Linked DNA regions of Caenorhabditis elegans. The protein of the gene in region 1 interacts with the protein of each later gene in a pairwise test. Each region holds a gene or a part of one and is shown on either strand. Other genes may lie near its edges. The genes, in order: atz-1, memi-3 and skp-1.

The links.
Region 2: the proteins of atz-1 (region 1) and memi-3 interact in a two-hybrid assay, tested with the Caenorhabditis elegans proteins (2 studies listed by BioGRID).
Region 3: the proteins of atz-1 (region 1) and skp-1 interact in a two-hybrid assay, tested with the Caenorhabditis elegans proteins (2 studies listed by BioGRID).

Annotation. Positions count from the first base shown.
Region 1 is NC_003282.8:12,374,401-12,378,157, reverse strand, and holds atz-1 (Protein atz-1), read left to right. Parts: upstream 1-2,036; 5' UTR 2,037-2,104; coding exon 2,105-2,400; intron 2,401-2,451; coding exon 2,452-2,529; intron 2,530-2,880; coding exon 2,881-3,313; 3' UTR 3,314-3,477; downstream 3,478-3,757. Other genes in the region: wdr-46 (WD repeat-containing protein 46), read right to left, coding at 3,479-3,757. UniProt on the Caenorhabditis elegans protein: Plays a role in meiosis, germline development and oocyte morphogenesis. May play a role in DNA replication.
Region 2 is NC_003282.8:11,401,421-11,405,025, forward strand, and holds memi-3 (MEiosis-to-MItosis transition associated), read right to left. Parts: upstream 1,919-3,605; 5' UTR 1,918-1,918; coding exon 1,438-1,917; intron 1,391-1,437; coding exon 1,205-1,390; intron 1,156-1,204; coding exon 964-1,155; intron 914-963; coding exon 737-913; 3' UTR 525-736; downstream 1-524. Other genes in the region: his-65 (Histone H2A), read left to right, coding at 1-55; cyp-31A2 (CYtochrome P450 family), read left to right, coding at 2,552-2,644, 2,691-3,091, 3,135-3,231, 3,278-3,372, 3,421-3,605.
Region 3 is NC_003283.11:11,643,571-11,647,327, forward strand, and holds the start of skp-1 (mammalian SKIP (Ski interacting protein) homolog), read left to right. Parts: upstream 1-1,910; 5' UTR 1,911-1,927; coding exon 1,928-1,947; intron 1,948-1,992; coding exon 1,993-2,149; intron 2,150-2,194; coding exon 2,195-3,280; intron 3,281-3,329; coding exon 3,330-3,426; intron 3,427-3,757. Other genes in the region: Chromosomal passenger complex protein bir-1, read left to right, coding at 1,193-1,315, 1,360-1,704.

The DNA.
Region 1 (3,757 bases):
AGGAAGACACTTTACATTACGGGAAGTTGACTACAGTAGTCTTTTACGAATATTTTTGCAAACAATTTTTATAAACATAATCGATCAGCAATTATTTAAAATTTCAGATGATTTCCATCTGGATTCTACTTATATCTCTGCTCCTCACTGTGAACAGCCGGACAATCGTAGTCTATAATAATAGATGCGTGGGCGGCAAAGTATTTAAATGTGGATGATGATTGGAGAAATGGAAAGATTTGGGCACGGACTGGATGTGATGGAGATTTCAATTGTGAGACTGGAACTTGTTTGGTGAGTTTTCCGTAGTTTGAATGTAACTTTTTTGAAGTCTATAGATCTATACTTTAACAGTGTATCATTTTGAAAGTATAAGTTTCTATGGAAGTTTTGAAACAAATAAACACTTGGGGATATTTGATCAAAACATTTTGAACAATTTTTTAAGTTCAGCCAAAAAATTGTGTAAAAGGGAAATACGAAAAAGTACTTTAGATGTTCTAGAATATCTGAAAGTCGTGAATTGTCAAGGACGTACATCATTTTTTTTTTGATGAATATTCCAAAATCTATTACCAAAATACATTTTCATTTTCGGGCAAATTTTTGGTCTTTTTTCTGTCAAACTCTGGGCACGTTTTACGGTCGTCGAAACTATATAATCTTTTTGCCAAATTTTTGCTACTTTCTGCCAAACTTTGGGCAAGCTTCTCAACAGTAAATGTTGACAGGAAGTTTCAAACGTTTCGCAGAATTCACACGCATATACTGAATAAGTTTCAAAACATCCGAAATTGGGAATACCCGAAGTCTTGAAAAAAAATGAAAAAGGTTTGAGAGTTTTACACTTTTTCCAGAACGCAGAACAATGCAATGGAAGGACAGGAACTCCACCCGCATCTGTCGCAGAATTCAATTTGAAATCTTGGGCTGGAAGAGACTTTTATGCAGTTAATCTAATCGATGGTTACAATCTCCCAATGTTAATTGATGGGTTGGGATGTCAAAGAGCCGGTGGATGCATCTCTGATGTAAATGCTGCATGCCCTACAGAACTTGCAGTGAAGAGTAGTTCAGGTTACACTGTTGGGTGTAAATCTGGATGTCTTGGATATGGAACTGATAAGGAATGCTGCCGTGGGGAGTATGATTCTCCAGATAAATGCACAATGAGCTCTACAACGAAGATGTTCAAGAATGCATGTCCAGGTGCATACACTTATCCATTTGACAACTCAACAATGTTCGTGTGCTTGAAACCTTCGTCGTATACCGTTCAATTTTGTTGAATTTTTGAATTTTTTACCAAAAACTTAACTGAAATTTCTAGATAATTTTTTTTTCGAATGAACTATTTTCGGTTTATTGAAAGTTTTTGATTCTTGCTTCACTGATAACATGAGAAAAAAGATACAGTTATCTGACCAATCAACTATTTAATTCGGCGTCTGTCATGCCAACTTTTTGGTTAATATTCACAAAAAAAAGTGTTGCAGAAAGTTTGTAGCAGAAAGAAAATGCCTAGAATACAAGTTGGTAATTGAAATTGGAATAATGTCTGTCACCTATTTTTGATTCAACGTTTGGTAAAAAGAGCTTCAGATATTGAAAACTAATGGAAACTTTGAACATGACACCTTTTTTTACCCAAAAAATGTAAAAATGCAAGAAAAATATATTAACTAAAGTTCTGACTATCAATGACCGTTCTTTAGGTTTCAAAAAATTAATCCAGATAATTTTCACAGCCACAGTTTAGGTAGTACTGCCATTTCTCTTGACAATGCATAACATTTTAGGTGGCCTTTTACAAATTTGAATATGCATTTAGCTCATCTAGTTCACTAATTACCCTTTTTAATGAAGTGTTTCATTCCAATAAACGTCTCCTATGACCTAATCTCCTTCCCTTCGAGACCATATAGAGAGAGAGAGAGAGAGCAAACATAGTATGTCAGACAATGATGACGTGTCTACCTCTTGGAAAGGTCAACTGCTACGGTAGATACCATCTATTAGCAGTGCTCCTCTTCTTGTCTCATTTCACTCGCACAGGTCCCTATCGACTGGTTGTCACCCTTTTTCTGTCTGTAATATTCAAATAATGGCTTCGATCGAACTCCGCAATGTGCAAACCGAGCTTGCCGCGAAGAACTTGCAATTCAAAGTGCTCACTGAAAAGTTTTTGGAGCAACGAAAAGAGCTTTTCGATGCGAAGAAGACTGATTCGAATGTCGAATATGTGGAATGTTTGAGTGAGAAATTGAGAGTTGCCACGGAAAGAATTTCGGATCTTGAAAAGGAGACGAAAGAAGGAAAACAAGTAGCAAATGAGGAAATTGGTCGATTGGAGAAACTTTTGAGGGAAGCACAGCAGAAAAGGGATGCGAAAATTGATGAGTGAGTTTTTAAGAATTTGAGTTCCTAAAATTTATCGAATTATTTTTTCAGGTCATATCAGACATTCTTGAGAATCGAATTACTTGTGGCTAACCTTGGTGAGAGCACAGATCCTGAGAATGAAAAACGGTGAGTTTCGGAGCCTACCCAAGTTAAAACGCAACGCCTCTAAAGTTGGGTCTCGTTAGGTATTGGCGAAGGCAAAATCAGAAATTCAAATTTTTTCAAGAGTTTTTCCACTATTTCTATGTCGAAACAAATCATGTAAAATACACGAGAAACCCTTATTCAAATGCATCTTTAAAGACCATTTCGACATTAAAATCGATAATAACAACAAAAACGTTTGAATTTACGAGTTTCCTGCCAATACCTAATGAGACCCATCATTGGAGCGCGCTTGTGCCTTGATGATTTCAAAAAACCATTTTTTGCGTCCCCATAATAACAAGCACAAATGCAAAAAGTAACACTTTTCAGAATCAAAAATTTGATGCCAGCAGCGAAAACTGGTATTCCACCAGAGGGTGTTTTGAGATTGACGATTAATGCATTGGACAGTGCTGCTAGAGAATCCAAGAAAAAGACGATGGCCATCGAGAGCCTCACGAAACAGGTCGACGATGCGAACAAGCTCACTGAAGTCTATATGAAACGGCTTGAAGAGCTGGAGGACAAGCATCGATTCGAAGAGGCGCTCACGTTGAAGATCCAGGCGATGATGATCGAGACGACGGGGCAGTTGGAAGCCCAGAAGAAGATCATTGCGGATCTTCAGAAGAAGAATGACGATCTTATGAAAGAAGAGGAAGGGGAAGAAGATTATGAAGAGGAGGAGAACTACGAGGTTGAAGAAGACTTTGAGGATGAGGAAGAGTATGATGAGGAGGGAGAAGAGGAAGATTACGAATAAAATACATACTAGTTTCTACTTTTTTATTTTACTGTTTGTTTTTTCCTTCGTTTCATAAATTTCCAAATGTCAAATCTTTTAAAGAAATAATTTCAAAAATTCAGTAAAAACAAAACGAAAATAACGCAAAATCAACAACAACAAAAAATAAAATTGATTATCCTTCTATTTGAGACGATCCAGAATGTGTTTCTTTTTCGGAGCCTCGTCATCCACTTCCGGTGCTTCAAAAACTTCCTTCTCCACCGCATGTTTCTCCATATTCCGTTCCATTCGAATCTGATCCTTGACAATATTCTTACGAGCCTCCATCTTCCAACCACTCTTCTTGCTGCGCATCTTGTGACGTGGCGTATATTGAACAGCCATCGGACGAATGTAGAGAATCTTCTTTCGTTCTTCCTCTTCCAACTCGAGAAGTCCCTCATTGACCTTGTTAATGTC
Region 2 (3,605 bases), 970 kb from region 1:
TCCAAACATCCAAGCCGTTCTTCTCCCAAAGAAGACTGGAGGAGATAAGGAGTAAGAACTTTCTTCTTTAAACAAACCCACCGAACCCAACGGCCCTCTTTAGGGCCACAAATATAAAAAATCCTAAAGATATTTCATATTACATTTATTTTGAATAATATGTTTGCTTGAATTCAATCAGTATTACTGTCAATAAGTTTTCACATGTTTTCGAGCCAAGATATCGGTCAGGAAACGACATTTAGAAATTGCAGAATTATGATCACTATGTAATGTGGCCAATTGCCTATCAAGCCTCAAGTATCGAAAAGTTGCATGTCGCAAGCTGGAATTGCCAGCGTTTTCAGAAATTTGCGTTCATTAATTCTAATTTCGAATTCATCTTTTTAGGCTGGAGGCATCTTCCATATCGTAAATCATTGTACCCGGCTGTATAAAAATTTTGATATCTGAAACCAGAAAATTATCAGCTTATCAGAAGAATTTAATTTGAAAAATTTTTCAGAGTCATGTTAAAAAGATTTTTTAAATCAACCAGTTCATGATTTGGTAAAGTTAATTCAAGCAATATACATGTTGAACATAAACAAAATATTCGAGGGTCATGGTGAGTTGGAGGAATGGAAAATAAAATAGGGGAAAGTTAGTTGATATATTTAACAGGAACCACTTAGTTATTCAGATAGATATATACAAAAACTTATGCACATTATAACTAATTATTGGACAAATGAATTCACTCTTCATCCAGTTCGAATGTTTCGAGGAACGAGATTAGGTCGTCGACAAGCACCATTCCATTTCTCAACGAGACCATATCGTTTTCGACCTCGAATTCATGAAATTCGACTGGCTCTTCGACAATCTGCACTCGTCGGTTCATGCACTTCACCGTTTGCTCCAATTCGATGTACTGAAAACGTTATAAATTGGAAACCGATAAATTATTGCTATTCAACTCACTCTATATCTCCGGAAAGGATCCCTGGCGCTCGAGTTGTTATTGTACACGATCCTCGTTTCCACGTGGCGCTTTCCTCGAATCGAACACGTGATTGATGCAGTCGAGGCCATCAGTCGGCCTTGTGAATCGAGTCCTGGCTCGAGATTTCCGTATTCCCGGCAGTTTGTTGTTCGCAGGCGACGAGTGGTAGTCTGAAATATGAAAAGTTATCGGTGTGAAATAGAAAACTATTTTACGTACACTCTTGCTCTGTGATCGGATCAATGTTGCCACCACAAAGCTGTCTGTCATCTGGAAGCCTTCGATTTCCATCTCCAGTTTTTCGAGAATTGCAAACAATTGCTGGAACGGCATTGCAGTCTTTGCCTGGATCGCAAATCGAACCACATTTTGACCCGTCTCTTTCGGCTCGGCCAGGAGGGAAGTCTGAAATAAAAAAATTTTTTTGGGAAAAATATACTCAAGAAACTAACTAGAATCAGACTGGAGATATCTTCGGCCGAAAGCATGCGGCACTGAGCGGCGAAATAGTGTGGTCGCTGGTTCGGATGAAGGAGCACGTGCTCGACAAGCGCTTTCTCCGATTCTCTGGTCGTGTTGAACCATCTTTGCGAGAAGAAGTCGTAGCGCTTGAGACGGAGATTTTCAATCGGCATTGTTTGAATGTCTCTTAGCACTTTGACAGCTTCATCGCGGATGATTGCCTTGCTCGGCTTCTTGTCGACGAGCTTTGGAGTTTCATCGATACGATGCAGGGAACGGTAGTTCTTATCCTCGACGAGCTCCACGTCTTCTCCATGCCCTTCGATAATTGCATCATGATTGATGTTGGGTTGTGGTGGGAGGGCTGAGCAACCGGCTCGAGCGGTTTCCAATTGATATTCATCGGTGTAGTTGGCCACGTATTTGGTCGCCGTCAATTCGCGAAGAACGGTACGGGACGGAGCTGACATTCTAAAAAACGTTGGTTTGAAAAATTAATGGAAAAATAAGAATTCGAAGCAAAAATTAAAGATAAAACTTTAAAAAAAACAATGTACTCAAGTGATTAACAGATTAATAATGCTTCACCGATAAAACAATATTTATGAAATTTCATTACGGCTCTCTGAACATCAGCAAAGTAGAAGAATGTTCACAATCAAAAATTTTCGTTGGGCCTAAAATAACACAATTGTTGCGCTGACTTTTCGCGGGGGAGATCGAATAGGTCAAATAGGCGATGCATTCATAAAAAGTACAATACTTATTGAAAAATAATTTTGGATTTGTTTTCTTTTTTTTTTGTTGAAAAATTAACGCGATTGAAAGTTTTTAATCATTAAATCAAGATTTAAATATCATGATATATCAGAAAACAACAAAAATCAGTTTTAGAATTTTTTTGAGCCTACCGTACTCTTTAAAGGCGCATGGCGATTTTCAGATGGGTCTCACTACGACATGCGTGAAATTTGAATGTTGATTCAAAAACTGTTCGTTTTTTTTCTTTTTTTAGAACCAAAGCTTAACAAACGCTTTTTCTCATGTTTTAAACGCGTTTTGCTCGTTTCTTCGCACAAATAAATTATTTCAGAAGGTTTTGCAATGGGGGTCATCATCCCCGCTGTACTTCTCGCTATGGCGACTGTGATCGCTTGGCTTCTCTACAAACATTTGAGAATGCGTCAAGTTTTGAAGGTCAGATTGCAAAATGCATTCAAAGATAACTCAAATAAATTTCCAGCACCTCAATCAGCCACGATCATATCCAATCGTTGGTCACGGACTCATCACCAAGCCCGATCCAGAGGGATTCATGAACCAAGTGATTGGAATGGGATATTTGTATCCAGATCCACGGATGTGTCTTCTCTGGATTGGCCCATTTCCATGTCTGATGCTCTACTCTGCCGATCTTGTTGAACCAATTTTCTCATCGACGAAACATCTGAACAAAGGGTTCGCATACGTTTTGCTCGAGCCATGGCTTGGAATCAGTATTTTGACGAGCCAAAAGGAACAATGGCGTCCAAAACGAAAACTATTGACACCAACATTCCATTATGATATTCTCAAGGATTTTTTGCCGATTTTTAACGAGCAATCAAAGATTTTGGTTCAGAAATTGTGTTGCCTCGGAGCAGAGTAAGAATTTTAATTGATAACTCGTTCAAATGTTTCTTTTCAGTGAAGAAGTTGATGTTCTCTCCGTTATAACCCTTTGCACTCTTGACATCATTTGCGAAACCTCTATGGGGAAAGCTATTGGTGCTCAACTCGCGGAGGTTGGGTAAACAACTCGAATCTCAAAATTTCTAAATACTTTTTCAGAATAACGAGTATGTATGGGCGGTGCACACAATCAATAAACTGATTTCAAAAAGAACAAATAATCCGTTGATGTGGAATTCATTTATTTATAATTTGTACGGTAGTTTTATCATTAATAAGGTGAATTAATTTGTAATTTTCAGAACAGAGGACGGACGGACTCATGAAAAATGTCTTCGTATTCTCCATGATTTCACAAAGAAAGTGATTGTCGAGAGAAAGGAAGCTCTACAGGAGAATGATTATAAGATGGAAGGTCGTCTCGCATTTTTGGATCTTCTTCTCGAAATGGTGAAAAGTGGACAAATGGACGAAACAGATGTTCAAG
Region 3 (3,757 bases), on another chromosome or scaffold:
ATTCAAAAATAATCAAGTGTAAATCTGTAGAAGAATCTAAACTGTTCAAGTTAAAAATTGATTTTCGATTATTTTTGAGATTACTCATTAATTAGTAATCATAAATAATATTATTTACCGTATTTCCTCTATTAGTAAGGCATGCAAAACTAATTTTCGGACACCTAATTTGATGCAAAACTAATAGAAGGTGCTAAACTAATTTTCGAACAGGTTTTTTCTCATGTTTTCCATTAAGTTATGACATAATATCATCAATTTCAATAACAACTTATGAACCAAAATGGACGAATTTTACGACTGATACGCAAAAATTGTCCGAATTGTACTCATATTTTGCCAATTTTGACTTGTTATACCAAGTCTGTAAGAGTTTTCCTAATTTTTAGAACGATTTTATAATGCAAATTTTAAATTCCTAAAAATAGGGAACAAATGGAGGGGTGCAAAACTATTAGAGGTGCAAAACTAATAGAGCGTGCAAAACTAATTTTCGATTAGTGATTTTAGATGCAAAACTAATGGAGGTGCAAAACTAATAGAGGTGCCTAACTATTTAATAGAGGAAATACGGTAAATTTCAGTTTTAGCCAGTTGAGAGAGGTTGAGCCGCAGGCTCGATCGACACCGTCCGGTTAAAAAGTTAATAGAATCTTTTTCCATTGAATCAAAGTTATTGTTAATTTGTTTAGTTTTCAACAAACTCATTGAGTTTCCTGTCTTCTTGGAGGTTTTGGTACGCGCGCACGTGCGCTCTACTGACCAATGGCCGTGGCCTAGCTTTCTTGGTGGCTGTATATTTCAGCGCGAAATTCGTCAGTGCGACGCGAGCTACATTTATTGATTTTTCAACATTTTATTCGATAAATGTTTTCTGAGATTTGTTTTTCATTTATATTTAAATACACACTGAAAAAATAAAACCACGTGGCGTGGATGCGCGAATTTCATGAAATTAAACTTCATTTTCGAAATCTATTAAAATACGCCACGAAGTTTTATTATTTTCAATGTAAGTCTCGTTTTATCTTTTCCTTTTATCAATCGATTTCAACGCTTTCAACTTATTTTTTTGGAATTGTGGTTTTTAGTTCAAATCTTCTTAACTGTATTTCGAATTTTTAATCTCTACCTGTTCGAAATAGATTCCTCAAGATTAAGATACCTAGTTGTTTTTCATTGATTTCAGAAAATGGCACCCGGGACCAAAAAAAAGTCGGATATGGCAAAATTCACATTCTACAAAGATCGCTTGATGACATTCAAAAATTTCGAATATGATAGAGACCCGGATGCAAAATGCACGTCTCAAGCGGTTTGTCCATTTTCGTGTTTTAAATAAAATTATTCTTGTTTTAGGTTGCTCAAGCCGGATTTTACTGCACCGGTCCTCAGTCTGGCAAATGTGCATTTTGCAACAAGGAACTTGATTTTGACCCAGAAGACGATCCGTGGTACGAGCACACGAAACGTGATGAACCGTGCGAGTTTGTACGGATTGGAAAGCTCGATGACTCGGAATTAACTATTAACGATACCGTTCGTCTCTCACAAACCGCCATGATTATGACTAAACTCTTTGAGCATGAGATGATGATAAATAATTTGTCTAATCATTCTTCTTCTGATGCTCTCTTCGATCAGCTGAAAAAAGTACCGAACACAGCATCGACAACAAAATCTAACAGCCGCCGCGGCAAATAATTTTTCTACATCACTTACTGCAACTTATCCAATTATTGATTTGATCTCATATACTCGATTTAATCACTGTTCAATAAACACTTAATTCATTATTTTATTATTCATTCAATGTTTTTGTTTTGAAATTATAACTTGTGTTTCATCGGCACTACAATATCTTCCAGTTTTGTATTTGATTCTTTTTTTGTCTAAAAAAACAATTTCAGGACAGTATTTCATCAGGATGTCGATGAAACTACGAGAGTGAGTGTATTTCACTGATTATCATGTAAAACCAATGTTTTTTAGTATCCTTCCTGCTCCTGTGGCGGCAGACGAAGCAGCTTCACAGATTCGACGAGATCCTTGGTTTGGTGGGCGCGATAACGAACCATCCGCCGCACTCGTATCGAAGGAACCACCGCCGTACGGAAAACGGACCAGTTTTCGACCAAGAGGGCCTGAAGTGAGATTGAAAATATTAATATTCTTCTTAATTTTTCTTTTCCAGGATTTTGGCGATGGCGGAGCGTTCCCTGAAATTCACGTTGCTCAGTTTCCTCTCGGATTAGGTCTTGGAGATATGAGAGGAAAGCCAGAAAATACGCTCGCCTTGCAATATGGAACTGATGGAAAGTTACAACACGATGCTATTGCTCGTATCGGACATGTTAAGGATAAAGTTGTCTACTCCAAGCTTAATGATATGAAAGCCAAGACGTGGAACGAGGATGATGATGATATTCAGAAACCAGACGATGACGCTGTTATCGATGCTACGGAGAAGACAAGAATGGCTTTGGAAAAAATCGTAAATTCAAAAGTAGCCTCAGCACTTCCTGTTCGTCATGCCGACAAGTTAGCACCTGCTCAATATATCAGATACACTCCAAGTCAGCAGAATGGAGCTGCTGGATCACAACAGCGCATCATCAGAATGGTTGAAGAACAAAAAGATCCGATGGAACCACCAAAGTTCAAAATCAATCAGAAGATTCCTAGAGCACCACCATCTCCACCGGCACCAGTCATGCATTCTCCTCCAAGAAAAATGACAGCTAAAGATCAAAACGATTGGAAGATTCCACCATGTATTTCAAATTGGAAAAATCCAAAAGGATTCACAGTTGGGTTGGACAAACGATTGGCTGCTGATGGACGTGGTCTCCAACAGACTCATATTAATGAAAACTTTGCGAAGCTTGCTGATGCTTTGTACATTGCTGATAGAAAAGCTCGTGAAGAGGTTGAGACACGTGCTCAGCTTGAAAGACGCGTTGCTCAAAATAAGAAGTCTGAGCAAGAGGCTAAAATGGCAGAAGCCGCAGCAAAAGCCCGCCAGGAAAGATCAGCGATGCGGAGAAAGGACGATGAAGATGATGAACAAGTCAAAGTTCGCGAAGAAATTCGACGTGATCGTCTCGACGATATCAGGAAAGAAAGAAATATTGCTCGTTCACGACCAGATAAAGCTGACAAGCTTCGCAAAGAGCGTGAAAGAGATATTTCGGAGAAAATTGTGCTTGGTTTGCCGGACACGAATCAGAAACGAACTGGCGAACCACAGTTCGATCAAAGATTGTTTGATAAAACCCAGGTTTCAGTTCCTTCTTCGATAAAATTTAACTAATATATTTATTTTTCAGGGACTCGACAGTGGAGCAATGGACGATGATACTTACAATCCTTATGATGCTGCGTGGCGTGGCGGTGACAGTGTTCAACAGCACGTTTATCGACCGAGTTAGTTTTTCTTGCTTATTTTCAAATATAAATTAAAATTAGTAACGGGTCTAGGTATTTTGAATGTATATATATATATATACCCACAATGCTCTAAAATGAACGAATTTCATAATGAAACGTTCCAGAAGTTTTTCAAAAAAAAAGTTTTATGGCGTTTTAAAATTTCAAAAAAAAACATTATTTTAGCTGAAATCTTATTTTGGCAGTTTATCTTATGCTATTCTAAGGTACATTTAAAATCGAAAGGTTACCGAAATTGATTACCTATGTTTGCTTAAAAAGTACCTCAATTGACGATATTACGTGATATTAAAATTTAAAAAAAGAT